Schizosaccharomyces pombe: one gene and its partners. The gene in region 2 interacts genetically with the main gene of each other region. Each region holds a gene or a part of one and is shown on either strand. Other genes may lie near its edges. The genes, in order: cgs1, tup11, php5 and ssn6.

Region 1 (7,532 bases), 3.3 Mb from region 2:
AAGAAAACATAACGCAAACACTTCAGTGGCATAGTCGATCACACAATAATATCCAAAGTGATATAATGGAAAGCAATTAAATACGAAAAAAAAAATCCTTAAATACAAAGATGGAGATTTTTTAAAATTAAGACTACCCAAACCAACTTATGGAAACTAATGAGTGATTTGAAAAGAAAAAGACTGGAATACAAAACAGCAAAATAATGAACGATCGATTGTTAGATCAACAATTCGGCTTTATTGTCGAATAATTAAACATCAATAATCCAATTTCAAACAAATAGCCCAGCAACACTCATTCACTCACTCAAATCATCATCATCATCATCATCATCGACACCGTCATGTCGCTAAAAGGTGAATTTTTCAACATACAAAAATAAAAGACGGAAATCAAACATATGCCCAATGCTTCCAGGTAAACCCTAGTGGAACAGTTTGCCAAAAGACTTTTTCATACGTTTGAACCAAGACTTCTTGGGAGCTGCTTCACCATCAGTGGCGGTTTGTGCCTTTCCATCAGCCGTCTCATTCTCAGCTGTCGCAGTGGCACCAGCAGCAGGAGCTGGCTTGGTAGTGCCGGCAGCATGTTCCTCAGTAGCAGAAACAGGAGTAGGTTTGGTGGTGGCAGAACCAGGAGTAGGTTTGGTGGTGGCAGAACCAGGAGAAGGTATGGTGGTAGCAGAACCAGAACCAGCAGCATGTTTAGACTCGACGGTATCAGCAGAAGTCGGGATAGGAGCAGCAGCTTCAATAGCGGACTTCTTTCCTCCTGGTACAGCAGCCGACGTAGTACCGGGACTGGAGGGAGCAGATGCTTGTTTTGAAGGTCTACGTGCATGCTTGGAGGACTGGGCTGATTTGGCAGGCGTGGAAGGAGTCGTTGGCTCTTGTCCAGTAGAAGAGGGTTTCCTGGCAACCTTATGTTTCTCGGCGGACGCCTTGTCATGTTTTGACACCCTTTTGGAAGCAGTGGTGGTTTCCTTGGAGAAATCATGAGCAGTCTCGGTAGGGGCAGTGACAGCTTCTTGCACTGGGTGTTCTGCAGTGGTACCTCCAACGGCCACTGGGTTTTCAGACTCGGTGGGAATGGTCGAGGGGACATTTACCTCGTTCTTGACAGTGGAAGAGACACCCTTGCCAACATCGGTCACAGTTTCAGTAGCTTCTTGGACAACGGAAGACTCGTATTGCTCAGGTTGCTGAGCACGGACGGGTTGTTCAGCAAATCTCGCGATTTCAACCGTTTCGGCGGTGGGATGAGGAAGGTCCTCCTGTACAGTTTGTTGCACCTCTTCAAATGCTCCCGGAATGCCACTAGCACTAGCTCTAGCACTGGTTGTTGCCTCATGCGTCACACCTCCCTGGCCAAGGGCGATGGGCGATTCTTCTTCCACCGTTACTGTGGTGGTATGGGGGATGACATCTGCATGTGGAATGTCGCTCGCATCCTCGAAAACCGTCTCTTGCTGAACGTTTTCACCAATGCTTTCAAGTACGTTATCATTCATAATTCCATCGGCCACTGCATGTGACTCAGCAGTGGCAGTAGTAGAGGCAGAGGCAACTGCTGCTGTTGTCGTAGCTGCTGCCTGATCATGCGTAGTATTTATTTCTTTCGATATCATAATAGCTTCAGGCTCAATGGGCTTCAATTCTGGAATTTCTTTCTCAGCGGTAGTAATGGGTTGTGAAGTAGCTTTCGCCATGTTTTCCTCTACTTTCGAAGAAGGTTGCGCAGCAGATGTCGTTGCTGGCTTAGACGTAATCGAAGCTGGGGAATTACCGAGTTGCTCGTCATTGCGCTGGGGTGCGAAATGTTCGGCTACGACGTAATCAGCGGATTGTGTGGTTGCAGTAGACTTTGTAGAAGCGGATGAGGAGGAGGAGGAAGGGGAATTGGCGGGTTCGGTAATACTTGTATTGCGTGCTTCCGTAGTTGGCACTGCTGTTGACGTGGAGGCAGAGGGTTTGTTGTCAGTAGGCGGCTCTACAGTACCCAGAGCTGAGGATGCTATGGGTTCCAAAGGCTCGTCAACCTGATCAGCGTCTTTCTCCACTATAGTTTGTGTAAATCCTGGCTCTTGTAATATGGTTTGTTCTTGTTGTTCCTCTTGCGCGTGCTGAGCTTCTTCCACAGGTGTGGAAGAGGCAGATGCTGCTGCTGACTGCTTCTTCTTTTTTGCAGCCTTCTTTTTGGCGCGTTTAGCGGCCTTCTTCTTGTTATCCTTGGTGACGGACGCCTGGGAAGAATTGTTATTCTGCTCGACCGCGTTGGTACTTTTCGAATCCAGCTTCTCCTGGACTCTCGACGTTACTTGGTGAATTTCATTTTTCGTCTGTTTAACAATATCGGGATTCGTGGTCATATTCAACTCAATTTTTGTTCTACTTTTACACGCTCTGCGTTCTTGTTTGGTGGTTGGTAGAAGTTGTAAATCTTGGCGTAACTAGAATTTATACGAAACCCTGTTATGTGAGTGAAAAAATGCATATGTAAACAAAGTTAATTCAGACGAAAGTAAGACACAAAACAAAACATTTCTTTACCAAAACATTGCTTCGCTGATCATCTTCTTAATATTACAATTTATCTCGAGTGCTTAACTTTATTCTGCAGTAATTGTCATTTCTACCCGTTGTGCTTGTTGTGAATAACCTACCCTACTAAGAACATTCACAGTAAATATGTAGTATGGAATATGGGGAAAAAAATTTTTCTTGTTTAAGAAAACCTTACGCATAGTTCGCAACTGTAGTCGTTTTTTTATTTATTATGTTCGCAAGAACATTGAATGTACGAAATTGAGTATTCTTTAAAATTTTTTGTATCCCATTTCGTACGGATTTGATAATTGAATAAAAGTCCTTTCGCTTTTTGCTGAATTTATTTGTCTAACAAGATATTCGTTTTATAAGTTTTTTACACAATTTGCATTCTCCTAGTTACACGTATCGTTTATCGCAGACTGTAGTTTCATCTAATTTGCACCCCTTTACTCAAAACTTGGTAAAAATTTTGTGTATTGTATTAAAAAACTATTCTCAATTCTTGATATTAGTCAATTTCTCATAAAATTTTTAAAGTTATGTCACGTAACTACAAAAACCGAGAACTCACTCAGTTTGCATACAAAACATCCACACTCTTGAATTTTTAACACTTCATCCCTTTCCCCACGTCTAGCGTCTGCCTAAAGCTTTCTAAGTATTTCATGCTTGCAAGTGTTTACGGACCACGGTAATTCTTGTATAATGTGCGTTACTCCAATGCCAAGTACATTATTGAATGCAGCTGCTGTTTTGAAGAGTGTGTGATTATTCAAAAAACAAATATAAGAACTCTCCATATAGATAGAAATATTTGACGATATCAAATATCGATTAAAAAACAAAAAAAAACAGGATGAAGAGAACGATAAAATAACTGTCATGATCCGTACGAAAAAAAAAACACAAACTAAACGGTAAGCTTCCAAACATCAAATGCTGCGATATTCGACAGATAAAAATAATAAAAAAAAAAGGAAATTTCAAAAAGAAAAAAAAAAACAAAATAAGAACAGTGAAGTGGTAATCACGAATATAATTGGAATTAAAACATTAACAAACCATATCCAGTGCCATGCTAGAACAAGACATAAAGGTTTTCAAAGAAATAAAAAAGAATAATACGTATATATACATTATCACATATAATGCTGAATTAGATAAGTAATCCAAACAAAACATGTTCAACATGAATAAGTAAATTATTCCAGGGATAATGGTAAACAATCACATGCATGCATGACCAATATGAAAAAGTTAGAAGGCAAACAAACAACAGGGAAATTCTTTAGCATATCATGACAGGTCATTATTACAAAGATAGTTTCAAAGAAAACAGATTATAGAAATTTTATGCTTTAGTTGATGGAGGTGACCTATGAAGAGATTGGTCACCATACTCATTATCCATTCCCATCCTGGCACGAGGTTGATTACGCATCAAATCGATCGCGTTACCAAGTAGTCTATTAAATGTAGGTTTATCAAATGTAGCAAGTTTCAGGCGAGTTTTTGCCTGTACCGTCGCATTTCTCACTGTTTCGTGAATTAAAGCTAGTTCACCAAAGTAATCTCCCTTGGTTAGGGTAACGACTACGCCTTTGCCATTCTTCACTACTTCAGCCTCGCCATCCTCTATCAGATAAAACTGGTTACCAATGTCGCCTTGTCGAATAACGATGCTACCGGCTTGATACACGACTGTCTGAAGAGCATCGGCAATTTTTTGTCGTTGATATTTGTCAAGGCTTGAGAGAATGGGAACTTCTTCAAGGAGGCTTTCATACAGCATCCTCTGGCGATATGCGTTTTCAAATACGATACGACGGAAACTTGTACGATCTAATGCGTAAATTACATTATTTGGTGTTTTGGAGACCACCGATGCAGCTCGTGGAGCATTATACATGAGTGCCAACTCTCCAAAATATTCACCGGGAGAAATCGTAGTTATGTAGTTACCATAACCACTCGAAAGCACTTCTTCAGGGGTAATATTTAGTTCGGGCCTTTTGTATACATCGAATTCACCTTGCTCCACAATATAAAAGTAATCTCCAACTGCTCCTTGGACAATGACAGCAACACCAGCCTCTCCAATCCGTTTTTCAGTCATAGCGTTCAGAACCTCGTTGTAATGTTCTTCATCCAAATTCTTAAACAAAAAGTTCCCAGCAACTGAGCGCTTTAGTCTTTTCAAATCTTCAGGATCCTTCGGAGGAAAGGTTCGTTTGGTCTCTAGTGCAAATGCACTAGGATTCATCGACTCAGTGGAAACAGATTGGCGACGCAACAGATTGTAGTTTTGCGGATATGAAACGTTCATTTCTTTTAATCCTCCCAATTCAGGAACGTATTTGGCATCCGGACCAATTGCCTCGGGGCCAGCAACCATATCGTTGAGCTCAGACAGGAAATCGCTTTCATCTCCGTCGCTAAAAGACTCTGTAATGGTGTCGCCTAAAAGAGAAATTTGTTAACATGATAAAACAAAAAAGGGTAAAATTTGTGTAGTATAGAGTGGGAGATTAAATGGGTACAGGGTCCTTAAACAACTTTGTGGAATTATTAACAGCCAGGAATCATAATTGCTGTTTGCTGACTAAATTTAGAAAATACTTACTATAGAGCAAAACAAAGTAAAAAACCACAAAAAAGAACCCATATTGACCATCATTTACTTTTCCTCTCCACTAAACATAGCTATCCAGAAGCATCTACTTACCTCGACGAAATACTGAGCGCTCAGCTTTCAGCTTTTCTCCAAAAAAGTCATAGCAAAATTGAAGTACATCTGAAGGATTTTGCTCATCAACAAGGGCTTTTAGCTCCTCATATACTTCTTCGAAAGACATGTCTCCTAAAGTTTACGTGCCTTTCTTTCAAAAAATGCGGTTTTTTGTTTCTTACTCTCAGTGAATCACAATCTCGCGGTTTTTGTTCGCTTCAGCTTTTCCTGACACTTTAATCAACCACAAGAGGTAAATTTTCCAAAATAAAAGAGCTGAATTCAGCTATACAAATCAGTTATTTACCTTCGTTTGTTACGGTTGAGATGTATGTTTAAAGTCTACCTGAGGCGTTGGACTAAAATGGATGGATGCCTGCATTAGCTCACTCATACGTCATAAAATGTACTACGCAATGCCCTGACTCCATAATATGGGGTTTATCGAAGCGCATAAAAAAATAGAGAGTAGAATGTTTGACGATGCAACATAGCTTGCGTTTTCCAGTGTTTCGGTATATTATTTTGTGAAGCTTCTTGTACATCCGTGAGTTAAGTTAGTTAAGAAATGAATAGTGAGCGGTCTATGGAAAAGTGATATGATAAATATACATCTATAGTAAGAAATTAGAATCGCTGAATATGAGTTGTTTGTTTTCAAAACAAATTCAATGTAACTTTTGAAGTCTATCAGATCAGAGAGCTTGCCCGACAGGATTACAACAATAATAGTTTTGGTCTTATTAAAAGTGCTATAAAAACAATCATTGAAGTAAATATGCTTTCTGTATTGGCTAAACAAAGGTTTCAATGAAAACGTAAATAAGGAATCGCTAATGTTCACAGATAACAAAAGCGAATCCTCCATACCCTTCCTGCTTTGCTATTAACTTTTTCGACAAGAAAACGAAAATGCTTATTAAATGAAATAAAACCAGACGGCAATTTATTATGTAAAGTATTAACTAAGGTAAACATTAAACACATGAGAAATAAAAGTAGAAACCACCCAAAGACCAAGTTGTGCAATCACTGTCAAAAAAAGAAAAATGAAACAGCTTATGCATGCTGGTAAGTGTAATTTTCGGCACTAATGTATTAATTAAGAAGTCATCAACAACGTTACGTGCATGAGCATTAGTAAATTCAGGTATAAGAGGATGATGTCTCGTCCAACGGTCGCTTTACTCCTCGTAAAGCGTCGCTTGAGTTTGATGGTAAATTCATGCCCCTTACTGAAGATGAGTCGTCAACATTGTTTCCGTTCTTTGCATTAGTATCAAAAGATCCATTTTCGTTTTCCATTATATCTCTTTTACTAAAGCTTGATGCATTTCCAATGGAATTCATCCTTTGTCCTTGATTGCCTGTTTCAACTCTCTCTAAAGTATCATTAGGCGAAGAGTATAAAGGCCGATCAGAAGTGAATGGTTTGTTTATTGGTATGGTGTGTAGATTTTGATGGCTTGTTATCTCTGATTTGCTTTCAGAAGCAGTGGAGTTGTACGACGATGATCGAACTGACGATGGCCCCGCGGACACATTAGCCATTGCTCCTGGGGGTAACGGGTCTCCAATACTCTGGCGTGTATCTGGTAACTTCGAAGGAGCAGATGGCCTAACATATGGAGGTGGTCCAACGTTTACTGCAGGACGTTGAGTGACTGAGATACTAGGAGACGGTGATGTTATGTTAGGGTGCGGCATTGCAGTCGGCGCCGGATTAAGTTGCTGTGAAGTATAAGCTTTACGACGCTTTGCCTGTTGTTGCACTTGTTGGGGCCCTTGCATTTGCGTTTGCTGCTTTTGAAGTTTTTGGGCTAAAGCCACAGCGAGAGCATTCGCAATCGCTGTGGCTTGCTCCGGGTTGTTGGCAGCGGCAGGTCCTAGCTGCTTATTAATGTGCTGTTGGAGTAGTGAAATTGCTTGAACGGCTTGCTCGTTGGGAGCCTGTTGCTCTCCATTTGCATTCTTGAAAAACTCGGGGTTCAAAGCAAGTTTCCCATCGCGCATAATGATAGGTTGAATGCCATTTTGAAGTAAGGATTGTGGTCGATCCTCTACATTTTCTCCTCGGGAAGTATGAGTTTTACTACGACTAGTTTCTTTTTGCGGATTAAGCTGTTCGGTTTTTCCAGCTGATATACCCTTTGTCTGGATAGCGGCTAATTCATTCTCCCTAGCAGTATCAGGATGAGCAGCTGGTGTAGCAGAAGGGGTGGGCTTTTTTGTTCTTCTAAAGAAATTACCC
Region 2 (7,151 bases):
TGAAATACATTCGATGGATATATCCAAGATAAATCACAAACTAAGGAAATAACTTCATCAATTATAACTTCGGAACTAGATTTATCCAAACTTTTCACTAAGGGACAAAGCATTCGAGCATACACTTCAGGGCGAAGTTCAACTGGACAAGCAAATAGAACTTTTCTAAAGAGACCAATTAAGTAGACATGGAAATCCAAAGAAAAACTAGTATCAAAATAAGATTTAAGTAGAATTGTTTGATCCTCAAGCCATCCTTCCGAATATGGCAACTGTGATCGTAAATCAAGAACAGTAAACAACTTTTGGCTAAGTGTAGGGGTTAAATATGAAAAATTAATTTTCAGGAACTCATGAAACTTCTCTAGAACAAAATGATTAGAGTCTGGTTTTAAAATTTCGTTAAATAAAAGAAGATGTTGTAATTGATACGATGCAATAGACTCAATTATATTAGGCTCAATGTGCTGCCAAGTTCCAGGTCGGTAATTGAGAGATTTAGGAAGTGATGAAGATATTTCAACAAGCAAATCTAAAAGGCTGATCCATTCATCTGCATAAAGCACTTCAACAAAAGAACGGCGCTCCAAAGCATTATATAAAGAACGAGTGGTTTCTAAAGCTATTCGACTAGATTTATTCTTTAAGGATCTTTGAAGGAATCCAAGCAGCATTCCTCTAGTGCAATACACTGATCTAGGGATATCGGTAAAGAGAGCACTCACGATTTGAATACCACCCATAATCGCTATATAAGAACCTTCATCTGTCTCTTCCATTATCCGTTTTAGGGAATTAAGTGCTTCGTACTTGGTCGCTGTCTTCAACAGTTTCTCAACAATCTGCTGAGCTGATTGTGAGCTTGCGACTAAGCCAAATTTTGCTCGACATACTACTTCAACAATAGAATACAAAACAGCGGAAGATATGCGACCATAGGATATAATACAATTTAATAACGAAAAAACTAATGCAATGTCTTCTTCATCGGTGGTGCTTTTTGAGACCCACACACAATTCGCTAGCATAGAAGAAACCTCCATTTCATCAAATAAATTAAAGCCCACCCTGAACATATTCGTAAGCAAGAGAATTATCTGACGAAAACAACGGGTGTAATTTCTCAATTCAGCACTTCCTTTGAAGGATTTTCTCGACTGAGCTCGCATATCATCAATAATCGTAAATAAATCAGTCAACCATTCAGACAAAACTTTAAGTATGTCATTTGAAAAAGACTCAGTTCTTTCGCCTTGGGATGTAATAACAATCAAGGCGTCTACAGTAGCAGGATAGTATTCAGAATTCGGAACCTTTGACAGCTCGTTGAATAATAGTGCACGGTCATCGGAAGACATTTCTTTATGCTTTTCAGCTGCATGAGTCCATAAGGAAATAGTGGCTGCCAGTATGTTTCCGTGAACTTTATTTTCAATAATGTCTTTAGTGGAATCAACAAGTTTTTGTAGGATTACATTTTTACAAAACTGCTCATTGTTGATGAGCCTTTTTATGCGTTTGTAGCGTTTATCCAATGACTGTTGATTCGATATTTGGGTGAGAATCGTGTCTATATCCAAAGCCTTCATAGCTTAGATATAAATCGATGCAGCAAACAACGACAATTTTTCTTTAACCCAAACGTAATATAGGTCCTGGGTTGGCACCGATTTAAGTATTAAGATTTTAAATATATTTAAAAAGTGCTAAATTAAAGATTTAATGAAGTAAACCCAAATTATAGACTGCTTAAGCCGTGGAGGATTATTATAAACTCCTGAAAAGATAGCCTTAAGAAACGTGCAGATATCGAACTGTAACGGATTGTAAAAGCACACCTCAATATAGCATCGATTAGGATTTATTCAATTTCTATGTTTTAGTCAATAAAATCGAAACAATGAGTCTTCTTCGCGTTGAAGAAGTCAGAAGATGGTTAATACATACATAATTTTAGCGAGTATATGATAAATCTGTTGGTGAATTTCGGAGTCAAGGTGGAGATATGCAAATTACTAAATACAAGAATAACCATTTAAAAAATGTTTAATCAACCACATGTATTTCAAGAATCTACATTGAAAAGTATTAAGTATTATCTCAAGTTATGCAACATTTATCATAGAACTAAAATTAAAAATTAAGGAATTTTTTATTAATTGTTTATTTTTTAAATAAAAAGTGTCTCAGTTAATTTATGAGAGAAGCCATTCTCCAAAATTAGTGACATTAAAAAACTGAGTGATGATTTGTCTATTGTGACCGTAAGTAAAGGAAATAATATTGCAAAAAAAATATGATACAAATTAAGGAAATATACCAGTGTAGTAATAGAGTTTACAAAATTTAGTTTGTAAACTTTGTAACCAAAAATCAATGCGGTTAACTATTTCCGAGAGCAAATAGTTATATGTAAACAGGAACAAAAATTCAAGGAGATGCAGGGTCAATTGACCATATGCGAGCACGTAAATCACCACTTCCCGAAGCAAATTGCCTACCATCTGGGCTAAAGCATACGGAAATAACTGAATTCTTGTGTCCTTGACAAGTGAGATAAGATTGGCCTGTTTGCAAATCCCAGAATTGCATACTTCTATCCTTCGATCCGCTTAATCCCCAACGGCTGTCGGGTGAAACAGCTACTGAAAGAACAAAATCAGTATGTCCTGTATAGGTGGCTTTGCAAATACCTTCAGGCTTAATAGCTGAAAGGCCAACTGAACGAGTTGCTTGTAATTCCCAGACTTTGATAGTCTTATCAAGACTTCCACTAAGAAGAATGCTGCTGTCGGGCGAAAAGGCAATAGAATAAACACTCTCCTTATGACCTTCCAATCGTTCAACCAAAGTACCCGACACAGACCATACTCGAATTATCTGATCTAGACTACCAACTGCAATGAATTGATCATTTGGAGAGATGGCTATTGCCGTCACACCATTCTCAATTTCTAACTTTAAAATACATTGACCTGTCTCCACATCCCAGAGTCGTGCAGTTCGATCGCCACTACCAGAGACGATGAATCGCCCATTATGGCTAAAATCTAAGGAATAGATATCTTGTTCATGACCTGAAAATACGTAACGAACTTTTTGAGTTGAGAGATCCCAGAGTTTTATTTGACGATCTTCTGTTCCCGTGACTAAATACTTACCATCAGGGCTGAAAGCAATGGTTCTCACATACAAATCACGGGAAGGATCAGGTGATTCTTCATGCAAAGTAAAAAGTTTTTTGCCAGTCTGAACATCAAAGACATTAGCGGCCTGGTTACAGCCAGTTGCTAAATACTTGCCATTGTTACTAAACTTAACGCAGCAAACAACACTGGGATGCTCTAGTGTGTGCACGAGATTAATATTAAAAACCCTTTTGCATGCTGGGTTATAAGTGACGTACCAACTCTGAGAAGTTGTCTTTCTAGCAGCTTCTGTATCTGAAACTGGAGCAATCTGTTCTCTTCCCTGATATTCTCCATCAGGACCCGCTTGGGATATAGAACCAGCATTCGCAGAAGCAGTCATAGAAGGTTCAGCCGAAGGAGTTGCTTTGGTAGGAATACGCGGTGGCTGGACATTCACAGCAGGTTTTGAAGTAGCACTTGGATTATAATAATTGGAAACACCAGGCAATTGAGGATTTGGTTGTTGAGAAACCTGATTTGCTCCGTAATTAACAGGAGGGATATATAAAGGTGTAGTACTAGGTAAATTGGATGTAGATATCGCGGGATTTTGAGAAGCAATTCCCTGATTAAAATTTTGCCCGCTAGAAGCCTCTACTGAAGGAGGAATTGGAGGCATCAATACTTCAGCAACATTATTTTGAGGATAAGCTGATTGGTGAATTGGAGGGATTTGCTGAAAGGCAGGTAGATGGTTACTTGGAGGCTGAGAAGTAGATTTGGTTTGAGAGGGATGTTCCTGATCAATATGGGTAACTTGATTATTAGAAGCGGCAAGTTCAGATCTTTCTCCACGATTTCTATAACTTGCGGTATTCGCTTCGACACCTAATTCTTCAAGCTCTCGCTTCAACTTGTTGATATCTTTTTCGTACCTATAAATGTTAGTAAATTGGTGAAGACAGATGTTATAAAGGTTTTTTTTTTTTTACTTCAAGCATATAAATCTCGAGCGACACGTATGCTATTATAAAATAATGATGAATTTCACAGAAAAGAAGTAGATACTATATAATCCCTCGATACCTTTAACATATAAAAACTTACGTTTCTCTAATAGATTTTTGTTTTTCATACATATCATCCACGGTTTTTCGGAACGCTTCAATTTCTTGAATTTGAGATTGTATCACTGCAATAGAACAGAATGTTAGTTTCCAAAAAATAGCTAATTTAATTTATTTTATTCAAACACGTACTAGAAGATTCATAGTCGTTTCCGCGCGCCTTGGACGCGAAGCTATGATGAGCCAAAGCATTGTATTCAGCCTTCAACGCATCCAGCATTTCTTGAACTTTCGTGGCATCCTCCACTGACGCCATTTTTTTTTTCAGTCAGACTTATTGCAAAAACTGAATCCGATTGATATACGCCCTTTTACAACAATAGCAACACTTGAATTGTGGTACAAGAATAAACTTGTGTTCTTGAACGTTTGTAGCAGCACTTTTATCGAGCGGCTCCTTGTGCTGCGCTAATCTTTAAATAGAGAATGTGGTGCTACATATTTTTGGTTGAGCAAGTATCACAAAATTAGTATGGCGTGTGTGTTGGCAACTTGTCCCAATTATTTTGAAATTCATTTGAATTATAGAGAAAAGCAATTCGAAACCCTTTACTGTTTGATTTTTTGTAGCGTTTATATTATTTTTTTGAATATAGATTTTCTTGCTTTTCAGTTGATGTTTGTTATAAAAAAATAGTTATAACTTTGAAACGTAGTGTAATTCATTTTTTTTTTATTGATGGAAAAATTTGTTAACCGTTTTTATATATCAATATAAAAAAATTAAAATTTGTGTTTAATCAATTTATTATCTGATCCTTGTTTAATTAGATTGTTTACCGACCTTTGTAAGACATTATTACAGTGAGTTTTATCTTGATAAGTATTAATTAAAAGTTATGATAGTATTTAACCCGTAAATTCACATTTCATTTGCTAATGACTCAGTTAATCATAAGTGACATTATTTGTTTAATGATGCGAAATTTGACGCACTTTACTGATATTAAAACATTGTTGGTTGTCTTAAAGATGCTTTTTTCATATAATCTAGTTATCATGAAGAAGGATGAAAAAATCCCATAGTTGAAATTTATTAACACTAAAGCAAAATGTTTAAGCGCAGCAAACCGAAGCCGTCAGAAATTGAGCATTTAATCTGACACGATATGCCATTTACACTTCAAGGGCGATTAATAAATACACTTTGGATTTATTTTTAAATCATATTTATTGCTTATTTACTTATCAATTTTTGTTTGATGTACTATTTAAGTTGTTTTGAATTTTTTTTTTATATGACATTAGTTTGGGATTACTACCCAGTTTAATCAGTTTAATGATACAGGAGGAAAGCAAGATTAAAAAAGGGACGGACAACGTTCATTGCATATCTTGTTATTGCTTGTCAGTTTACGGCCCTCAGCGTTTGTTAAGCTACACTAACTATTTACTTGTAACTTGATAAATTTTGGTATGCTGGTGGTAATACGAGTAGGGGCCAGACATAAAGCAATGCGACAATTAATGATATGTTGCATAGTGGGGCATAATGTAGTGTAACAGCTGACGCTATATATCATCGAGATGTTTTTACTTACGTTTTACAAACTATTTCACTAAAAAGTTTCCGTATAGTTTTATCAGCAATTTGTTAATATTGATATCAATACATATATATATATATATATAAGTCTATTTATACATCGATAACTCTACTAGTCCCATTGTCAATGCTAGTGAATATACTTGTTTTCCGACAGAAATGACTCGTACTCGTGTACAAAAAATGATACCGAAAACCATTGAATACCAAAAAATGATATCTGGTCAACCGTAAGGCTAATGCTTAAAACTTGTCGAGCTAATATATCATCTTCGTTGACATGTTTGAAGTCACATTGAACGCAGGGAGATATTCTAATTACTAAATAACAGGTACAAGGCTTACGACGAGGAGTTGACTCAAGCGAGATGTAATGCTAAAAAATTAATGCGAAGGTTTAATGACACTATGGGAGATTTGGAAAATGTAGGCCCAGCAGAATTGATTAAAAGACGAGCTGAACTGTTGGCTGAAGTTTTTGTATTTGACGAATCTTCAGCACCAGAGATTGAGCCACCTATGGCTTTTGATTACGGATTTAACGTTCATTTTGGAAAAAAATTCTTTGCAAATTATAATTGTACATTTCTAGATGTTGCCATAATTACTATTGGTAATAATGTAATGCTAGGCCCCAATGTATGTTTATATATATATATAGTTACTTTCAAGTCATTCATTCAAAAAATAAATATACTAATGGTGTCTTTCCAGGTTCAACTATGTACAGCAACACATCCCTTGGATTTTAAAGCAAGGAACTCCGGAATTGAATTTGGTTTACCAATTAACGTATGCGTTAGTCCAGTTATTGAAACATCTTACAACTAACAAACAAAATTTTATCAAGATTCAGGACAATGTTTGGATTGGTATGGGAGTTATAGTTCTCCCAGGTGTTACTATCGGGGAAGGCAGTGTAATTGGAGCGGGTGCTGTTGTTACAAAAGACATCCCACCTAATACGTTGGCTGTAGGATCACCTGCCAAACCTATTCGTAAAATTGAAAACGAGTGAACGAGTGTAATTTTTTTTTTTATTATTTCATCTAACGATTAAATGCTCTTTGAACTTCTTAAGTTCACCTGGCTTGGTTCCTAAATTTTTAAAATAGTATAAATAATATTATATTATGTTTGAGCTTTAAATTGTTATATAGAAGACTTAGAATGCTAAAAGAAATCCATTTCTCACTCGCCAAGTAGGATCAGTTTCCTCCTATGACTTGCTAAAGCCCCCACGTGGTACTGCAATCGATTTTAATTCTAATGCTTAGCCAAGTCTAAAATAGTTGAAATTCTTAGTGGGATAAGAACTCTTAACCCCCACGATATATTTGAATGCTA
Region 3 (7,316 bases), on a different chromosome or scaffold from region 2:
AGGAGCAAAGAAAACTGCACTTGATAGGGCAAACAGTTCTCTCAATTCTTTGATAGTAAACGAGACAGAAAATATGTTTCTTCTTCCTACAATGTGTAATCTTTTTAAATTGCTTCTTTCAAGTGATTTGAGGAACAATGGATTAATGTCAGTTGGGGATAATTGAGCAGGATTACTTAAAAGGATTCGAGCTACATCAAGTGAAACATTACCATGTCCAATAACTACTGCATCCTCTACCTGACTTAAATCCAACTCAAGATTTTGATTTCTGGGATCACTGTTATACCAACCCACCACTTCTCGCGCACTATAAACACCTGACAAGTCCTCCCCTGGAATTCCCAGTCTCTTGTCCCCAGCAGCTCCATAGGCAAGGACCAAACAATCATAATTTTTAGTCAAATCCCGTAAAGAAACATCAGTCCCAACGTTTACGTTACCAAGGAAGCGAAATTGTGTAGACTCAGCAATTTCGGAAAACTTGTGTTCTACATGCTACAATAGAGGTTAGCTGTATAATAAATTTAATAAGATCCATTTTTAAACCAATCAATATTTCTTGGCTTAACAGACTTACCTTAACTTCTGGATGATCTGGGGCAACTCCATAACGTACAAGCCCAAATGGAACTGGGCGGGATTCAAACATATCTATTTTGACATTTGGGTCATTTCGTAAGAGTCTGTGGGCTGTGTAAAAAGCAGCCGGCCCAGAACCGATGATGCCGACTACAGGTGAAGAAGTTTGAGTGCTATATGTTCTTTTAATGAATCGTGATAGCATCCTTTCTTAGCCTTAAGATGAAAGAAAAACAAAAAATGATTGAAATGAAGAAGTGAAGGATATCTTCGTGATTGTAAATCTGATATAAAACTAGCAGCAATTATCATTAACAACTGGACTCTCCTCAAAACGAAAAGAAAAGCTACCAATGCTTAATAAAACTGATTCATTAGTTTTAAAGCTTTAAATGTTTAATCTCAATAAACTGTTTGGTGACACCTATACAACTAGTGAATTTTATAGCATTGGATGAGTGGTCAGGTTCAAGCAGCCAAGCCTTTTGAGAGCAAAGCATTTATATGATAAGATCAGTCAGTATTTAGAAAAAGGAAATTTCTTATTAAATCAAAGGTAATTACAAACAGGAAAGTTGAATCAAACGCTACAACAGAACTTTTGCTGATCGTTGCTTACGATATTACCAGCAACAAACATCTCATATAGTAAAGTGCAAACCTTCAAATAAGTGTTTTATGTTGTTATTATGAGTGACTTAAGCAGCTTCAAACTGATTTCTGCAATGATTTTTTTATGATATTTCAAATAACTAGTTAGATGATTGTGGCTCAAATGGTTAATTTGAAAACGATATATTTAAATTTCTTAAAAATAATTAATCTCTGCTTATTCAATCATACTTATTTATAAAGATGCTAAACCTAGCTACTTGAAAGTGTTTTCTAATTCCTACTATTATAATGATAAAACAAAAAATAAGAATTTATTACATTCAAAATAATTCTATTTATAAAGGTCAATTACTCTTTCACGTTTAAAGAACTGTTGTAAGACCAACAAATTGTAACGCGGTAAGCTTTATCTTTGCGAGGACTTTAAAAAGGCGTAAGATTCAATTAACAAGGATGTATTTTAATGTAATTCCTGGATTGAAGTCAATTACTATACGTATTTTCTATTCTGTTTGCTTTAATTACTGAATAATATTTGCACATGCTATTGTTTATAGTATTATATCTACTACCGCGAAAACATTAATTATGTATATCAAATAATGAATATTTACGTGTCGTTAAAGTGTTTTAGCAATTGTAGAAACAAAGTATGTGGTACTATAAACCGGTTCCATCAATAAGTTGTGTGACAGCCAACCATCTTCTGCCAGCCACCAATAAATTCAATCGTACCGATTTTCGCTATATTGAGTGTTTTTGCACTCTATATACTTAATTAAGCCAGGTGTAATACGCTACATAGATAATTCAAGACACTTCGACGAGTTAAGGTGCTTTACTAGTGTTCTTTATTGAAGTTCTTTGTTTTAAGAAGTTAATGTGTTAGAGATACGTTAGTAACTGCACTTGTTGCTTTGTCTTACTCATTCTACGAGTTTTTCGTGAATTAAGACGATTGGTATTTATCTTTTTAGATATTGCAACTAAGCCTCGTGTTTAGCCGTTCGTGTTCCTTTCGATTGTAAAACTTTTTATTTTTTTCTTTCCGTTCCACTCTTCAACTTGACGTCAATTTGTTTTACTTCCCTGTTTCGTCTCCTGCTCACCTCTCATATAAGTTTAATTCCCCATTTTACCGGAGACTACTCCGCTCCCTTTCTATTTTATTTCTACTTATCTTGGTTACGATTTTGTTAAGCTGTACATCAAGGTATTGGAAGTTTTCTTTAATCCGCATCTTTATCGCCTCTTAATATTTAGATTTTCGATTTGAAATTCTTTAGCTTAAATTATTGTCAGTTTCTTTAACAGCTTTGTTTTTAGGAAACTGGTATTTGTTAGATCCCGGCATAGTTACAATTTTTGTCATTGTCGTTTTTTTAAACCTGTCACCAGTGAGATTGCATTGATCTCTTATCTAATTGGCAAAGGCCTTTACGTTTCCAGTTTTCTTTTTAAACTAAATTGCCTTTCTGTAGACTTTTTTTCGTTTTTCAATTAAGATTCATTGCAAAATGAATTCTATTCCTGATTCCTATTCCTTGAAACAAGGCTTTCCCGAAGGTTTAGGAGAATATGTTGATCCCTCTGGCAATCCTAATTCTCAGGTACGGATAGGTTATGGTCAAGATTCTGTTTCTCGCTTCCAACAACCAGTCCCCGATGTTGATCCAACTGCTGTCAATCACTACAACGCTAGTGCACCCATTGAGGTTGCTAGTCCATTTGATAATGTTACTCAAGGTCTTGTTGGCAGTGATGCACAAGCCCTTGCTGAATATTGGCAAAAAACCATCGATACATTGGAACATGACGATCAAGCTGTAAAAACTCTGCATCTTCCCTTAGCTCGTATTAAGGTATGCCACTTTTTCTGAATTAATTACTAACTATTGATTATGCAGAAAGTTATGAAAACTGACGATGATGTGAAGGTACGTTACTTTGAGTATTCGAATACTTTTTGACATTAACTTTTACTAATTTTTTTAGAATAAAATGATCTCGGCAGAAGCTCCTTTTCTGTTCGCTAAAGGAAGTGAGATATTTATTGCAGAGCTTACTATGAGGGCTTGGCTTCATGCCAAAAAAAATCAACGAAGGACACTACAAAGATCCGATATTGCAAATGCAGTATCAAAATCTGAAATGTATGATTTCTTAATTGATATTATATCTAAAGATAACAATAATTCCCGCGCATCTTCCAGTCAAGCTCATATGTCTGCTACTCAAGTTGCTGCTATGGGTGGTATGAATGGTTTACAACCTTTCCCCACTCAAGCTGGCTTACCCAATCAAGGGTTTCCAATGCCAACTGGTAGTCAACTTCCATTTTCAAATCAACAGTCAAGTCAGCCTTCAATGCAGTATTCCTCTCATCCATCCAGAATGCAGCAAATGCAAGATATTGATCAATCTATGTATAAACAGCAGCGTCTGGGCTCTGAATATCCACAACTACAAATGTCAGATAACTCCGGAAATGTTAACCAGATGAATATGCAAAGACCGGTCATGGTAGCACCGTACATGGCTGAGCATTTATACCGTTATCCACCTACGCATCTCGAATCTGGATCCTCAGCTTTCCGATTGCAGTCATCCCCTATGGGATATCAAATGCCCCAATTTCAAGGTAATATGCGACCTAATATGCAACAGTCTCAAATGTTTGATCCTTCTGCATATGGTATGTCAAGAAGACCTGGATCTCCTCGGCAATTCGATCAGCAACAGAGACTTTATTCACAGCCAAACGCTATGATGTATCAAACTCAGCAAGGGCGTCAGGGAAACCCAATGCATCAGCAGTTTTCCCAGCAACAAAACCCTCTTTCTCGCTATTCGCAACAACCCCAGTAATATCTTTTAATACCTGTTGATTTAGAACATGCAATTTAAATAATTTCTATTAAATTATTTGGGAGGATCCAACAGTGATGCATTTTTAGGTGGAACTTTCAATTTGTCAATTTTCGGTTTATCTACAAAAGCTTAAAGAAACAGTTGATTTTCATGACATGCTATGTCTAGTCATTGTTACTTTTTTTAAGCTATGTGTGGTTTTATTTTTTTAGCAAGACCGAAAAAGAAATGACGGAAGCTTTTCATATTTGCTGCCTCTTTATTTTCCCATTGCGGGACTGCTAGTGTAGAGTATTTTGTTTTACTTAAACATATATATGCATTTGAAATTCATTGTCGATAACATTCTACCTATTATGGATATTTACGGGTTGTCAATGTAAATAAATGATGGCATGTTGCAATCGGTTACCAAGAAGCAATTAGCTTTAAACAACGTTTAGGTTTACTTTATAATTAAATTTATTCGTATATGTACTTGAAAATTTGCACTTTTGATGATTTTTTAATTTAAAATCTCATAAATTTTAACTTCTATGTAAAAAGGTATTTAGGCTCATTATGCAAGGAAATTACAGCTGCTTTCATTCCCGACTGCATAAAAAACCACCATTCCACGGCCACCATACTCGAGGTAAAAATGAGTACGGCGGTGCGAGGCAGTTTAATTTACTCCTTCACCAGAACTACGCAGTTGATTATGAACAACAGATAGGCAGAAAGAGGAGAAACAAATTATTCTTATACTAAAGCTTAGAATTCTTTAATCTACCCCCAAACAACAACGAATGGCATCTACTAGCTTTTAAGCAACTTCTGTTCTGCAGAAAAAAACTACGTAAAAAAAGTTGCTAAAACTATCAGTTGCGACATCGCTGCTAACAAATTATCGACTAAACTTGTCGATAATAACGAATTCCCCTAGTAAGCCAAACATAACATTGAGAGGAAACGTAACGATTAAATATTAATTCAAAAAATGGTCCATGTGACTGCTTTTTTAACCGATTCGAGATAATCAGTTTTCATCAATTTAGACGACGATTTCGGCCATCAGAAATAAATCTGTGGATAAAAAGGAACCCCTTATATATCGCTAAAACCGTGACGACAAAACAGAAGTCTTTGGTTTACCACTTGTCCTTAACTGACTGCCTCTTTCATTTTCAACATCAAAATGCCTTCCATCTTATTACTTGGTTCGGGATTTGTCGCTCATCCTACTTTAGAATATTTATCTCGTCGTAAAGAAAATAATATAACCGTAGCATGCAGAACTCTTTCTAAGGCTGAAGCATTTATTAATGGTATCCCAAACAGCAAAGCCATTGCTTTGGATGTCAATGATGAAGCAGCTCTTGAGAAAGCTGTTTCCGAACATGATCTTACCATCAGCTTGATTCCTTACACTTATCATGCAACAGTTATGAAAGCTGCCATTAAGCATGGTAAACACGTTTGTACCACCAGTTATGTGAATCCCAAAATGGCTGAGTTGGAGGAAGCTGCCATCAAGGCTGGTTCTATTTGTATGAACGAAATCGGCGTCGATCCCGGTATTGATCATTTATATGCTATCAAGACCATTGAAGAGGTTCATAAAGCTGGCGGTAAGATTAAGTCTTTCTTGTCTTATTGTGGAGGTCTTCCCGCTCCCGAGGACTCCAACAATCCTTTAGGATACAAGTTTTCTTGGTCTTCTCGTGGTGTTTTGTTGGCTCTTCGCAACTCTGCCAAGTTTTATGAAAACGGCAAACTTGTTGAAATTGACGGCAAGGATTTGATGGAAACTGCTAAACCCTATTTCATCTATCCCGGTTACGCTTTCGTTTGTTATCCTAATCGTGATTCCACTGTCTACCAAGAGCGCTATCAAATACCTGAAGCAGAAACTATCATTCGCGGTACTTTACGTTACCAAGGATTTCCCGAGTTTATTCATTGTTTGGTTGATATGGGATTTTTGGATGAGACAGCTCAGGAATACTTATCTCCTGAAGCACCCGCTTTGCCTTGGAAGGAGGTTACTGCTCGTGTCATCAAGGCTGAATCTTCCTCCGAAGCCGACCTAATCAAGAAAATTTCTTCCATCCACAAATTCAAAGATGAAGACGACAAGAAGCGCATTTTGAATGGTTTGAAGTGGCTTGGTATGTTCTCTAGCAAACCCGTTACTCCTCGTGGTAATCCTTTGGACACCTTATGCGCTACCTTGGAGGAACTTATGCAATACGAAGAAGGTGAACGTGATATGTTAATCCTTCAACACAAGTTTGAAGTTGAAACCAAAGAAGGAAAACGCCAAACTCGTACTTGCACTTTGCTTGACTACGGTGTTCCTAATGGCTACACCTCTATGGCAAAATTAGTCGGCGTTCCTTGTGGTGTTGCTACTCAGCAAATTCTTGATGGTGTTATTAACACCCCAGGTGTTTTGGCTCCTAATGATATGAAGCTTTGCGGTCCATTGATTGATACACTTGCCAAAGAAGGTATTCGATTGGAGGAAGAAATTATTGACGAAGAGTAAGCATGTTTCACGCTTTGGTTCCAAACTCTTATATATAAGTTTGACATTTTAGAACACCAAAGCTTCTTCATTTTCTATAATTATTCGTAATCTTAGAGTTCGTCAACCTTTTTTTTGGCAATTTATCTACATGTTCATAAGTATAAATGTTCAGTTTGTTTTGCAACCTTATTTATGTGAAGCTTTACTTGGGGTTTTCGTATTTTCTAAGTAGATGTATTTAGTCTTAGGTAACCGACGTAAAACTCGAAGAAAAAATAACCTCTTCTCGATTATTTGAACAAACAACTCGAGGACCTTTTGACTGAGTGTTTCGTCTGTAGCATTTAGCTATTCAAAGAATTTTTGACATACTGAACTATTAACAAATCGTAATCTCGCTTCTTTAAGCCATATACGTTACTAAATTTCTGGGTCATACAAATCTCGTGTTTTTATTTCGCATTCTCTAAATTCCGTAATTCGCCTAAATGTCAACAAACTAAAAGAGCTTTCACATATCAACAACTTACTGTTTTTAATAGCTTCCTGTTCTGATGCATCTAATTTCCACCAAACTATTTCCAATCCATAATAAGTTGCTAAGGCAAAAAGCGTCACTTTACCAAGAGGTCTAGCGTAGTTTTTATAAAACATAATCTTTATGATCGTTAATAAAATAATGTTAAATAAAACAATGCAAAAATGCTTGAATGAATTTTAGCACAGATAAAATTTA
Region 4 (9,763 bases), on a different chromosome or scaffold from region 2:
GCTATTGTAGCAGCTTTGAGTGTGGCTGTCGGATTAAAACATCTTTCTGAAGATGCAGATGCAAAAGAATATGTTATAAATAGCTTTGAGCATCTCAAACAGTCTCGTCCTACCGCTGTCAATCTTTTTGAAACTGCAAAGTTTATGCAAGGCATTGCTCTTCAAGAAGGAAAAAATTGTCGAAATAAAATTATTCAGGAAGCGGAGCGTATGCTAGTAAAAGATTTAGAAGACAACCACAATATTGGAACTGCTGGCCGAAAATTCTTGTTGCAGCATTACAAAGATAAAGACAAGCTCACCGTTTTGACCCATTGCAACACTGGATCTTTAGCTACCTCAGGTTATGGTACAGCTTTGGGGATCATTCGTAGTTTACACGAATCGGGGAACTTGGAACACGCTTATTGTACAGAAACTCGCCCTTATAACCAAGGCTCTCGTCTCACTGCTTTTGAGTTGGTTCATGATAAAATTCCAGCAACTCTAGTCACAGATTCCACGGTTGCTTCAATTATGCACAAAATCGATGCCATTGTCGTCGGCGCCGACCGCGTTACTCGTAATGGCGATACTGCAAACAAGATTGGCACATATAATCTTGCTATTTTGGCAAAACACTTTGGAAAGCCTTTCATAGTGGCTGCTCCCTTTTCTTCAATTGACACTAGTTTAGCGTCTGGTTCTCAGATTACCATTGAACAGCGACCTCCGATTGAAATGACCACGATTACAGGCCCCATAATCACAGACTCTAACAGCCGAAATCTAGAGGATCCAAAGCGTGTTCGAATTTCTATTGCTGCTCCTGGGATTGACGTGTATTCCCCAGCTTTCGACGTTACACCTGCTAATTTAATAACTGCCATCGCTACAGAAAAAGGATTTTACACACAACAGACTAACAATAAGTATGATTTTTCTTGAGTTCCTTGGTATAGTTTATTATGCTAGTCTCTGCTTTAAAGAAGCAACATTTGTGAGCGAACTTGGCATATTCTTACAGGTGATTAGCACCTAAAATTTAAAAGTCTTTTGAATTGTTTCAGTTTCTCTTCTTTCTTTCCATATATAGTTTACTCTGCTTTTGTCTACTTAATAAAAATAGATAATGAGACTACAATAACTTGTTTTATATAATTAGTTATGTGATTCCTCCATAATAGTGCATATTTGGTTTGATTAAAGCATCTATAATTTATGCAATATATGACACAGGGTCTCGAGATTATATATTTTAAATAATTTCCTTTTTTCTCGATAAATGTCAACTTCAGATACAATTTTTGTTTCAACAGATCAATAGCAGACGTTTATCGTAGGTGGGATATACTTTCCTTAACAAAAATTCCCGCGTATCAGCTACACCAGTATCATCAATTTTTAAAATATGTATGACTATTGTAAGCAAATTTCAAATGTGAGCATATTTTACATTTCAAAAAGTTATTTTTATTAACTCCGAAAACTATATACATCAAAGAAAATTTTTAGGACGCATAACACTCAGATAAATACAAGAAATAAAGCAATTGCAATTCAAACCAACACACACAATATCAAGTCTAATAATCGTACTCGAGCCTTGATTATCATGAAATAAACATTACAAAAAATTGGGCCTTGGGGGTATACTTAAACTGACACGGTTTCTTTTTCTCCCTCATCATCATCGTAATTTTCATCAATATCGAGAGTCCTTGCTGCTTGCTTTGGACTCACACTTTTTGGGGCAAGAGGTGTCGAATCTTGATTTTCGGGACTAGGAGAGCTACGCTCTTGCGATTCTTTTTGGGGCAGTTCCTCTTCTGCAGTAGTAGTAGTAGCGGCAACAGTAGCTGTAGATGTATCAACAGCATCCGTAGACTTATCAACGGTAGCTACATTATCCATATTGCTGTCGCCGTTAATATCGTTAGTGTTTTCAGTAGTAACATCATTAGAAGTATCATCTGACTTTTCTTCGGGACTCTTGGGTAAACTCTCACTTTTAGGTTCCGAAGTCAACTGTGCAGAATCCACCTGTTCAGAAACTGACTGCTTAACTTCTTCCTCTCCAACATCGTCATTTACATCAGCAGTTTTCTGACGCTTTACTGGCTCCGTCGAAGAAACGTCAGTATCAGCAGTTTTCTCAGTCTCCTGGTGATTACGCTTGGTACTCTTTGGATCAGCTGTGCCTTCAACCGGTTTCAAAGCAGGCTCGGGTTTTTGTGGTTTAATACTCTTAGCAGCATCAGATTTTGAGCTTGAACTAGGTGATCCACTAACAACTGTGCTATTCTCCAGCTTTTTAGAGGAATCACGTTGAGTAGATTTTTTAGGATCACTTTCATTCGAAGCTGAAGTCCTCGTTTCCCTTGATTTACTAGAAACTGAATTGCTACGTTCACGATGACTAACATTAGAAATAGAATTATTGCGTGAACGCGGCTGATCTGATAACTTATGTTGAGGAGACTTGGTAGACGAAATAGAATTTCGAGAACCTGAAGCGTGCTTGCCTCGAGGAGTAAAAGCATTAGATTGGTGTATAGTCTGTGGCACAGCAGTCTGGCTCGATGGAGCAGCAGTTTGTACAGGAACAGTAGAAGCAATTACTGGCTGAGTAGCCACGTTGTTATTAGTAACTGACGGTTGTGTTTGGTAAGGCTGTTGCACGACGCCTGATTGACCGGTAGCAGAAGGAAGTTGAGCTTGAGGTAAGTGTGGAGGTTGCCAATTACCCGACAACTGAGCAACAGGAACATTAGAGTAAGGCACGCCTGGCTGGTTGATATACTTTGCAGTCTGTACGTTTGGGACATTGGAAGGAGGAGCGTTGACAATTTTATGTTGTTCATTATTAGGTCCACGTAACAATTGTAACCTTGCCTTGATGTGAGGATTAGTGGGGTCCAATTCAGCAGCACGCTGATAAGCATCAAGCGCATCACTTATTTGATTATGACAACTCTCGTACAAAGTACCCAAGTCATACCAGACTTCCGAGATGTAAGGATTTAAGCGAATAGCACGGGAATAAGCATCCAAGGCGTCTTGATATTGGTTGATTTGATAATACAAAACACCAATCGAGCACCAAAAGGTAGGATTTCTACCATCACGATACACAGCTTGTTGATACGCTTCATATGCCTTGTTGTATTTTTGTTGTGCCACATAACAACGACCTATCAGATACCAAGACTGAGCATCAGTGTCATCTGCTTCTAAAGATTTAGTCAGATATTGTATAGCAAGATCCTGGTTAGTAAACGAAGATGACTGTTGATGGCACAGCCATCCGAGTTGCTGTAGAACCTTGGCATGATTGGGAGTTTCAGCTAAGACACGTTCATACGCTTCCTTGGCTAATTTATACTCTTTTCGTTGCTCGTATACGTGACCAATTTGGAAGTATATGTCCAAGACGGTTAAAGGCTTAGGGGGATTATCAAGGATGTGACGAAAAAGCTCTAACGATTGGGCAAATTTATGCTGCTGTTTGTAAATGATTCCCAAACGAAAATATATTTCATTAACCTTCTCGAAGTTGGGATCCATGCGTAAGCATTGCATAAATGCCTCCTCAGCATGCTCATGAGAGCCATAACGGTCGTATAAAATACCGATCCCGTACCATAGTTTCGGATCTTTGGGATCTTTCAAATGGTACAAAGCTTGACGATAGGCGGAATAAGCGCGAGAAAGATCATCCTGCATCAAATAACAGTGACCTAAAGCACTCCAAATTTCACCCTGCTTAGGATCACAGTCTAAAATAGTTTGGTAATATTCAATGGCAAGCGGAAATTGCTCGCGGTTTCGTAATATGGTAGCAATTTGAAGCATAGCGGGAATCGAATATGGGTTCTGGCGCAAAGCGGACTCATAAGCAGAAAGGGCTTTATCCTGATCATCAAATAGCTCTGCAAGACGGCCAATCTGAATCCAAGTTTCCTCGTTAAGTGAAATTAAATGACGAACAGATTCAGGAGCGTTGGGCGGCAGCACATTGGCGCCTTGTTGAGCAGCAAGCGTAGAAGTAGCTGCGGTTTTATTTTGAGGTACAACAGCCATAGCAGGAGAAGAAGTCATGGGAACAGGCTGGGCATTTTGAACAGCGGAATTTGCTGCAGGAAGGGTCACCGGACTGGCCAAGGTGTTTGGGGTGCCATTTGCAGGAAGAGCCTGTGGAGGAATGGGAGGCAATGCAGCCTGGTTTGGAGCAGGAACGGGGGCAATAGCAATAGGTTGGCCAGCCATTGGATGATTGACGGCAGGAATCGAATAGTAAGTACCATTTTGAGAAACTATTGTAGAGACGGGCTGCTGAATACCAGAATGTAACTGACGCTGCTGTTGTTGTTGCTGCAAAGGCTGCTGAGGCGGCTGCGGTTGTTGAGGCTGTTGATGTTGTTGCTGTTGAGGCTGTTGTTGGGGTTGCGATTGTTGTTGCTGTTGCAGGGGAACGGGAATGTAAGGAGAAGCCTGGTTGGGAAGGGGTAGCTGTTGAATGGGTTGGTTGGAAGAGAGTATGGGCATCATTCGTTGCAACTGAGGATGCTGCTGAGGTGCATTCGTAGCAGCAACCATGTTTGGAGGAAGTTGTCGGTATTGTTGAGGTTGTAGAACCTGCTGAATGGGAACAATGGCTTCAGCATAATGAGGCTGGGATGCAATAGAGACAGAGGGTGGTTGTTGAATGTTTTGCTGGGCAGGGCCTAAAGAGGGAGACTGCTGGGCAGGTTGCTGCTGTTGAGATAGTAGAGGATGCAATGTGGAACGAGGAAGATGAGAAGGGGGAAGGGAAACAGAATTGGCATGGAGGGGTGAAGCGTAGTAAGCAGTCTGAGGGGGCAGCGAAGCATTTGGGTCGGACGAGAGGACTTTTGAGCCCATGCCATGGTTGGGCTGTGCATTCTGGGAAGGAGAAGCAGTAGCGACTTGTGATTGGGGCATATCAAAAAAGTTTTTAAGTACAAATTAGATAGAGAAGAACGAAAACACGGAGGAGATCGAAATATGAAAAAAAAAATAATAATAATTAACAATAAACAATGGACAATGAAAAAGAGAAAAGAAAAAAAAAAGAACAGAGAAAAAGAATAGAAATTCTTCAAGAATGCAACATCCGCTTATGGAAAAGGAAAAGTTCAGAGAACGAAATCCACGTAAACCACAAAAATAGAATGGAAAAAAGGAATTGATTAAAAAAAGAAAAAGAAAAAATTACAGCGAAAAACGAAGGATGTTGTCGTATAAAAGTGGATACTGTACAACGATGCCAAGAGCAATTCAGTGGAATAATAGGTTATCCAGGCAAAGTGAATTGATCAATGGAAAAAAAATGGTCCTTGTTTCACCAATACGTGTAAAGGTAGGCGAGTATGTCAGATAAAACAAAACTGTATTTGTAGTATACAGTGATGTACTTTCCTATACTATATACTTGGTCCTAAGAGTTAACAAGCCGTTACACCAAAAAACCAAAAGGCAAATGAAAGCAGGGAACGAGACACAGTGTTGAAACAGTGTCAAGTAGAGTAATCACTTGTGAATGGTTAGATTCGTGTGATTGATGTCGAGCAACAAAAAAAAAAAAAGAAACTATAAAAAGAAAAAGCAAGCAAACAAAAGCAAAAGCAAAATAGAAAAAAAAAAGCTAAGCTATGTCAAGTTTGCAATTGTATAAAAAAAAAGAAAGAAAAACAAAAAAGCTTCCCGAATTTTATTTGCCCACAAAAAAAAGAAAAAAATTGAAATACTTACGAAAAGTTATGAGATGTCGCGCAACGTCGCCGTCAAGACCAACGAACGACCGACCGACTCAAGTAGTCTGTTGAAGAAAAGCAAAAGGAAAAAGAGCAAATAACCAAATGGAAATAGACTCTAAAAACACGATGCGATATAAAGCGCAGAGCAAGACTTGAAGAATAGTTAGAAGAAAAATTCTAGTCTGCGAAACTGTCGTTTTCCTATGCGCCAAGCAAAGATGTAGTTGACAAGAGTGCTGCTATGCTGGCTGACTAAGGGTAAGTGCGTAAAGACGTACAACACTGCAATGTATACGAGTGCGCCGAGAGCGAGTGAGCGGGAGTGGGTGAGTATGAGATATGCGAGAGAAGCTCACCTAGTGACAAAAAAGTCAACGACAAAACCAAGATCAAGAACAGGGAGTATAGTGAATCTAATATATAAGGATTTCGGTAAACCCCGATTGTGCCTCTTTGTACTTGGGTTGAGCGGGTGGAAGAGGGAAGCAGCGGCAAAAGGAGGGGGGAAGAAATGAAGGGGCAAATCAAGACAAACGCAAAAGAGGTAAAAAGTGAATGCTGACAACCAGGTGCAACACAAACGGAACTTTGACCTCGCAAAATGTCACCTGAGAATCATCGCGTTTTCACGAGAGCGAAGTAACAAAGACGGGAGTGTTATGACAAAAGGCAAAGGCAAGGGCAAGACAGGGTAAGGTAAGGCTGACGAGTTGGCGACGGCTTGGAGCTCGTATTTTAAATATAACGCAAAAGAGAGAGATGCAGGACAAGGGCGATACAAGGCAAAATGTGTAGGCGAGGGAAGGCATAGATAGAGAGAGAGAGAGAGCGCACAATAAGGAAGAAAGATGGGCGAGATTGGATGAAATGGGTGAGTCAAGAGAGCTGGGAGAATTTCAAGCGTTTCTGTTTGTAAAGAAGATTATTATTCATCAACAAGGAACTAGATGGAGTGTGAAAGGAATGGGGATAGACGGGGATAAAGAAGAAATTGGGGTTATCGGTTACGTTGGTAGTAAAAAAAGGAGGGAAGCGTCATAATAGAGAGAAGGAGAAAAATAACAAAAGTTGGATTGGATAGAATTTAAAAAAAAAAAGAAAAAAGAAGAAAAAAAAGAAACATTCAATCAATAACAATTTCGAAAAATCTTTTTACTTTAAAAAAAAAAAAAAAAGCGACTTTATGGAAACTGTATTCCACAGTGCGAAATGAACAAAGCAACAAACGACTCTATTCGTCTTTGAGCCCATTCTGTTGGTTGAGGATATATAGTGTAGCGTAAGTTAGCTCACCGCTTGCAAAATTGAGCCTAGCACAGGGCGCTAGTAGAGACAAAAGTAATCAACGTAAACAAAACGCATCGTGTTACTTGCAAGATAAGAGAAGAAAGAAAGTAAAAAGGAAAAAAGAAAATTTACCAACGAATCACACTGCATATGCTTTTGGTTGATGGGATGGCTTGTCCAAAGCAGCCACAAGGCAAAATAGGAGGATGCAAAGCAAATGCGCAAGTAAAAAAAAAAAAAAGCATGCGAAACCGAACACTCTTAATGAGATGATGGAAAAAGGTGAAATTTCTTTACGGCAATTTCCACTCCACCGAATACCGAACCGATCGATCAAAAGTGCTGCGGCAGCGAAAAGTCTAGCGCAAAACACATTGCTGAAAACGTATCGCTCAAAGCACATCGCTTGACTTGATCTGTCATGCATGCTTTGCAATTTCCACGCCATCCCCTTCCATTCAATTAGTTTAGCCATGAAAGGATGGATGGATGACAAGAGCAGTTTGCAAAACGAAAAAAAAAGAGTGCAGTGGAACGAACTTTGCGAAAGGGTTCAATGTATTTCAGTAAATTGGCTAGACCCACATGGGCAGCGTATCTAAAGTAAGCTCACATAAGTGATTACGAGTTGCGAGAGCCGACAGTGACATTAACATTTGGGCAGGCATGACCAAGACCATGACAATATCTTACCTTTCTGAATGACGACCTCTTACAACCTGGATGCATCGATATTATTGATATGAAAACTTTCTTATTATACGAGATTCTTTTCTTACGGCCACCATGACTCTTTACTAGTCCCCCTTACTCTTCATTTTACTCCTACTACTCCCCAAATTCATACACACTTTCATTCGTCCCTACTTGATTCTCCAAGTATCACCCGATCGCTGTATGCTCGCTCCTACTGCGACGAGAAGAAAATTGCATCTCTTTTGTCCGTCGATCCCATTCTCGATTTGCACACGTACGCACATATGATAAGGCATCGTTGCAGGTGACGTTGTAATGTCTGCCGCTTCCATCAGCACGATTTTTAGTCCATAGCATCCCTGTCCCTTTGTTGAGCGCTGCACATAAAGGAAAAAGAAAAACCGAATGAAATTTGATTTAATGTAACATACATGCTTTACTAATAAACGAAGAAAAGAGTCGATAATGTCAAGGGGAAATCTAAAAGAAAAGAAAATACTATACTATACTATACTATACTAGACTATACTTTACTTTACTAAACTATACTATTATAATGAAAAGGATCCTCAAGATTCATTCTTATACGGATGTATGTTGTTTCGATGTTTATAAATAGGAATTGGATGTTTAGTTGGCGAGTTATTTAGATGTTTAATGATAGTTATTTGTATTATTTAAATTATTTGTATTGTTAATATTATTTAAATTATTAGTATTATTTGTATTTGCATCTATTTATATGTTTAATGATAGTTATTTGCATCTATTCATACAACTATTTCAATCATTCAACAGGAATAAAACCATTTCCTTTTTATTCTATCCCTCTTTCTTCTTCTAATCTTCCTTTTCATTCTTTCTTTACTCTCTCTCCCTACTCAACTCTTCCCATATCTAGCGTTCCTCCTACCTCCAGCGTTTCTCCCAAGTCTAGCGTTTCTCTTATGTCTAGCCTCTTTTATATGTTTCGCTACCATCTATTTAGTGAAGTGCGCAAGAATTTGTTCTTTTCTTCTTTCTTTCTTTCTTTCTCTGATCCTCCTCCTTGTGCTCTTTCGTCCTTCTTGCAACGTGCTATTTTTCCCTACAAGAACCTCCCACTGCCCAAGGCCCATCAACAATCTAACATGACGCGATTGATAGGAGAATGACTTTTAGGTCTCGAAAGCCAAACCTTACCTCTTCGGAAGATGCGCGTAGAAAAACGCACCGTTTCCATATCACCAAATAGGAGAAAACACTATCGCGCCTTATTCACTCATTCCAAAAAAGTGTCGTCATCGTCAATGAGGGCCGCTGTCATCGACAAATAAGAGGTCAGTCATCTTTCAAGGCCAATTTGGTCAAACTGACTCGACTGGTGCCGCAAGATGAAAAAAAAAAACACCGATGTCCATTAGAGCCCATGTGGGGCAGTGCCCCCTTGAGAAAACTGACTTCACCCCTACCCTGAAAAATGACGTAGTATCAGGGCGTTCCGAAACGGATATCGAGTCAATTTCCTTGGCATTGACGGTATGGACAAAATGGCAATTTTAAGAAAAGTCGTACCAAAACCATCTGATCTTCCCAATCACCAATGATCTCAATTTCACGTCACCTCTCACTGCACGGCGGTAAAGGAAGGAACGGGGAGGTTTTTTCCGAGATTGGCTCACTTGCTCACATTGGCAAGATTGGCTTCGAGAATAGCATAACCCAGTATAACACACTTAAAATAGAAATAGCATTGTGTAACGAAGAAAGCCAAGGCTGCGTTAAGACAGGGTTAGGCCAAGTCAGGTCAGACAAGGAAGGGGGGATACACATACAACATACCTTTTCCATTCCTTGCTTGCTGGCTTACTACTTCCATTGCAAAAACTGCTACTACTGCATAAAACGTCACTTGTCTGCTAATAATGCATACAAAGTTACCGAGAGATTGGAAATTTGATATTGTATGATAGATTGCATTCGTGACACTCAGTGTCCGAACCCCTAAATGCATAGAATGAAATGACATGATTGATATCAAG

Evidence for each region.
Region 1: of tup11 (region 2) and cgs1, changing one suppresses a phenotype caused by changing the other (phenotypic suppression), as found in Schizosaccharomyces pombe (one study listed by BioGRID).
Region 3: of tup11 (region 2) and php5, changing one suppresses a phenotype caused by changing the other (phenotypic suppression), as found in Schizosaccharomyces pombe (2 studies listed by BioGRID).
Region 4: of tup11 (region 2) and ssn6, changing one suppresses a phenotype caused by changing the other (phenotypic suppression), as found in Schizosaccharomyces pombe (one study listed by BioGRID).

Annotation. Positions count from the first base shown.
Region 1 is NC_003424.3:3,641,115-3,648,646, reverse strand, and holds cgs1 (cAMP-dependent protein kinase regulatory subunit Cgs1), read right to left. Parts: upstream 5,619-7,532; 5' UTR 5,409-5,618; coding exon 5,279-5,408; exon of another isoform or gene 5,014-5,278; coding exon 3,905-5,013; 3' UTR 3,011-3,904; downstream 1-3,010. Other genes in the region: SPOM_SPAC8C9.04 (uncharacterized protein), read right to left, coding at 429-2,372; SPOM_SPAC1142.09 (uncharacterized protein), read right to left, coding at 5,802-6,149; DNA-binding forkhead transcription factor for ribosomal proteins Fhl1, read right to left, coding at 6,428-7,532.
Region 2 is NC_003424.3:297,198-304,348, forward strand, and holds tup11 (transcriptional corepressor Tup11), read right to left. Parts: upstream 4,600-7,151; 5' UTR 4,515-4,599; coding exon 4,391-4,514; intron 4,324-4,390; coding exon 4,239-4,323; intron 4,215-4,238; exon of another isoform or gene 4,067-4,214; coding exon 2,431-4,066; 3' UTR 2,081-2,430; downstream 1-2,080. Other genes in the region: SPOM_SPAC18B11.11 (GTPase-activating protein), read right to left, coding at 1-1,589; SPOM_SPAC18B11.09C (serine O-acetyltransferase activity), read left to right, coding at 5,964-6,034, 6,137-6,443, 6,519-6,596, 6,655-6,822.
Region 3 is NC_003423.3:3,391,099-3,398,414, reverse strand, and holds php5 (CCAAT-binding factor complex histone fold subunit Php5), read left to right. Parts: upstream 1-1,908; 5' UTR 1,909-2,714; coding exon 2,715-3,059; exon of another isoform or gene 3,060-3,104; coding exon 3,105-3,134; exon of another isoform or gene 3,135-3,192; coding exon 3,193-4,065; 3' UTR 4,066-4,511; downstream 4,512-7,316. Other genes in the region: mitochondrial [2Fe-2S] cluster assembly NADPH-ferredoxin reductase Arh1, read right to left, coding at 1-498, 581-787; lys9 (saccharopine dehydrogenase), read left to right, coding at 5,246-6,598; mitochondrial F1-FO ATP synthase peripheral stalk assembly factor Ina17, read right to left, coding at 7,033-7,064, 7,111-7,237. UniProt on the Schizosaccharomyces pombe protein: Component of the CCAAT-bound heteromer, php5 is essential for DNA-binding activity. It is essential for transcription activation of cyc1. It is the linchpin that binds to the subunit association domains (SAD) of php2 and php3 to bring these proteins together.
Region 4 is NC_003423.3:3,858,686-3,868,448, reverse strand, and holds ssn6 (transcriptional corepressor Ssn6), read right to left. Parts: upstream 6,150-9,763; 5' UTR 4,945-6,149; coding exon 1,636-4,944; 3' UTR 1,397-1,635; downstream 1-1,396. Other genes in the region: mri1 (methylthioribose-1-phosphate isomerase), read left to right, coding at 1-927. UniProt on the Schizosaccharomyces pombe protein: Acts as a component of the ssn6-tup corepressor complexes, which are involved in the repression of many genes in a wide variety of physiological processes. May also be involved in the derepression of at least some target genes.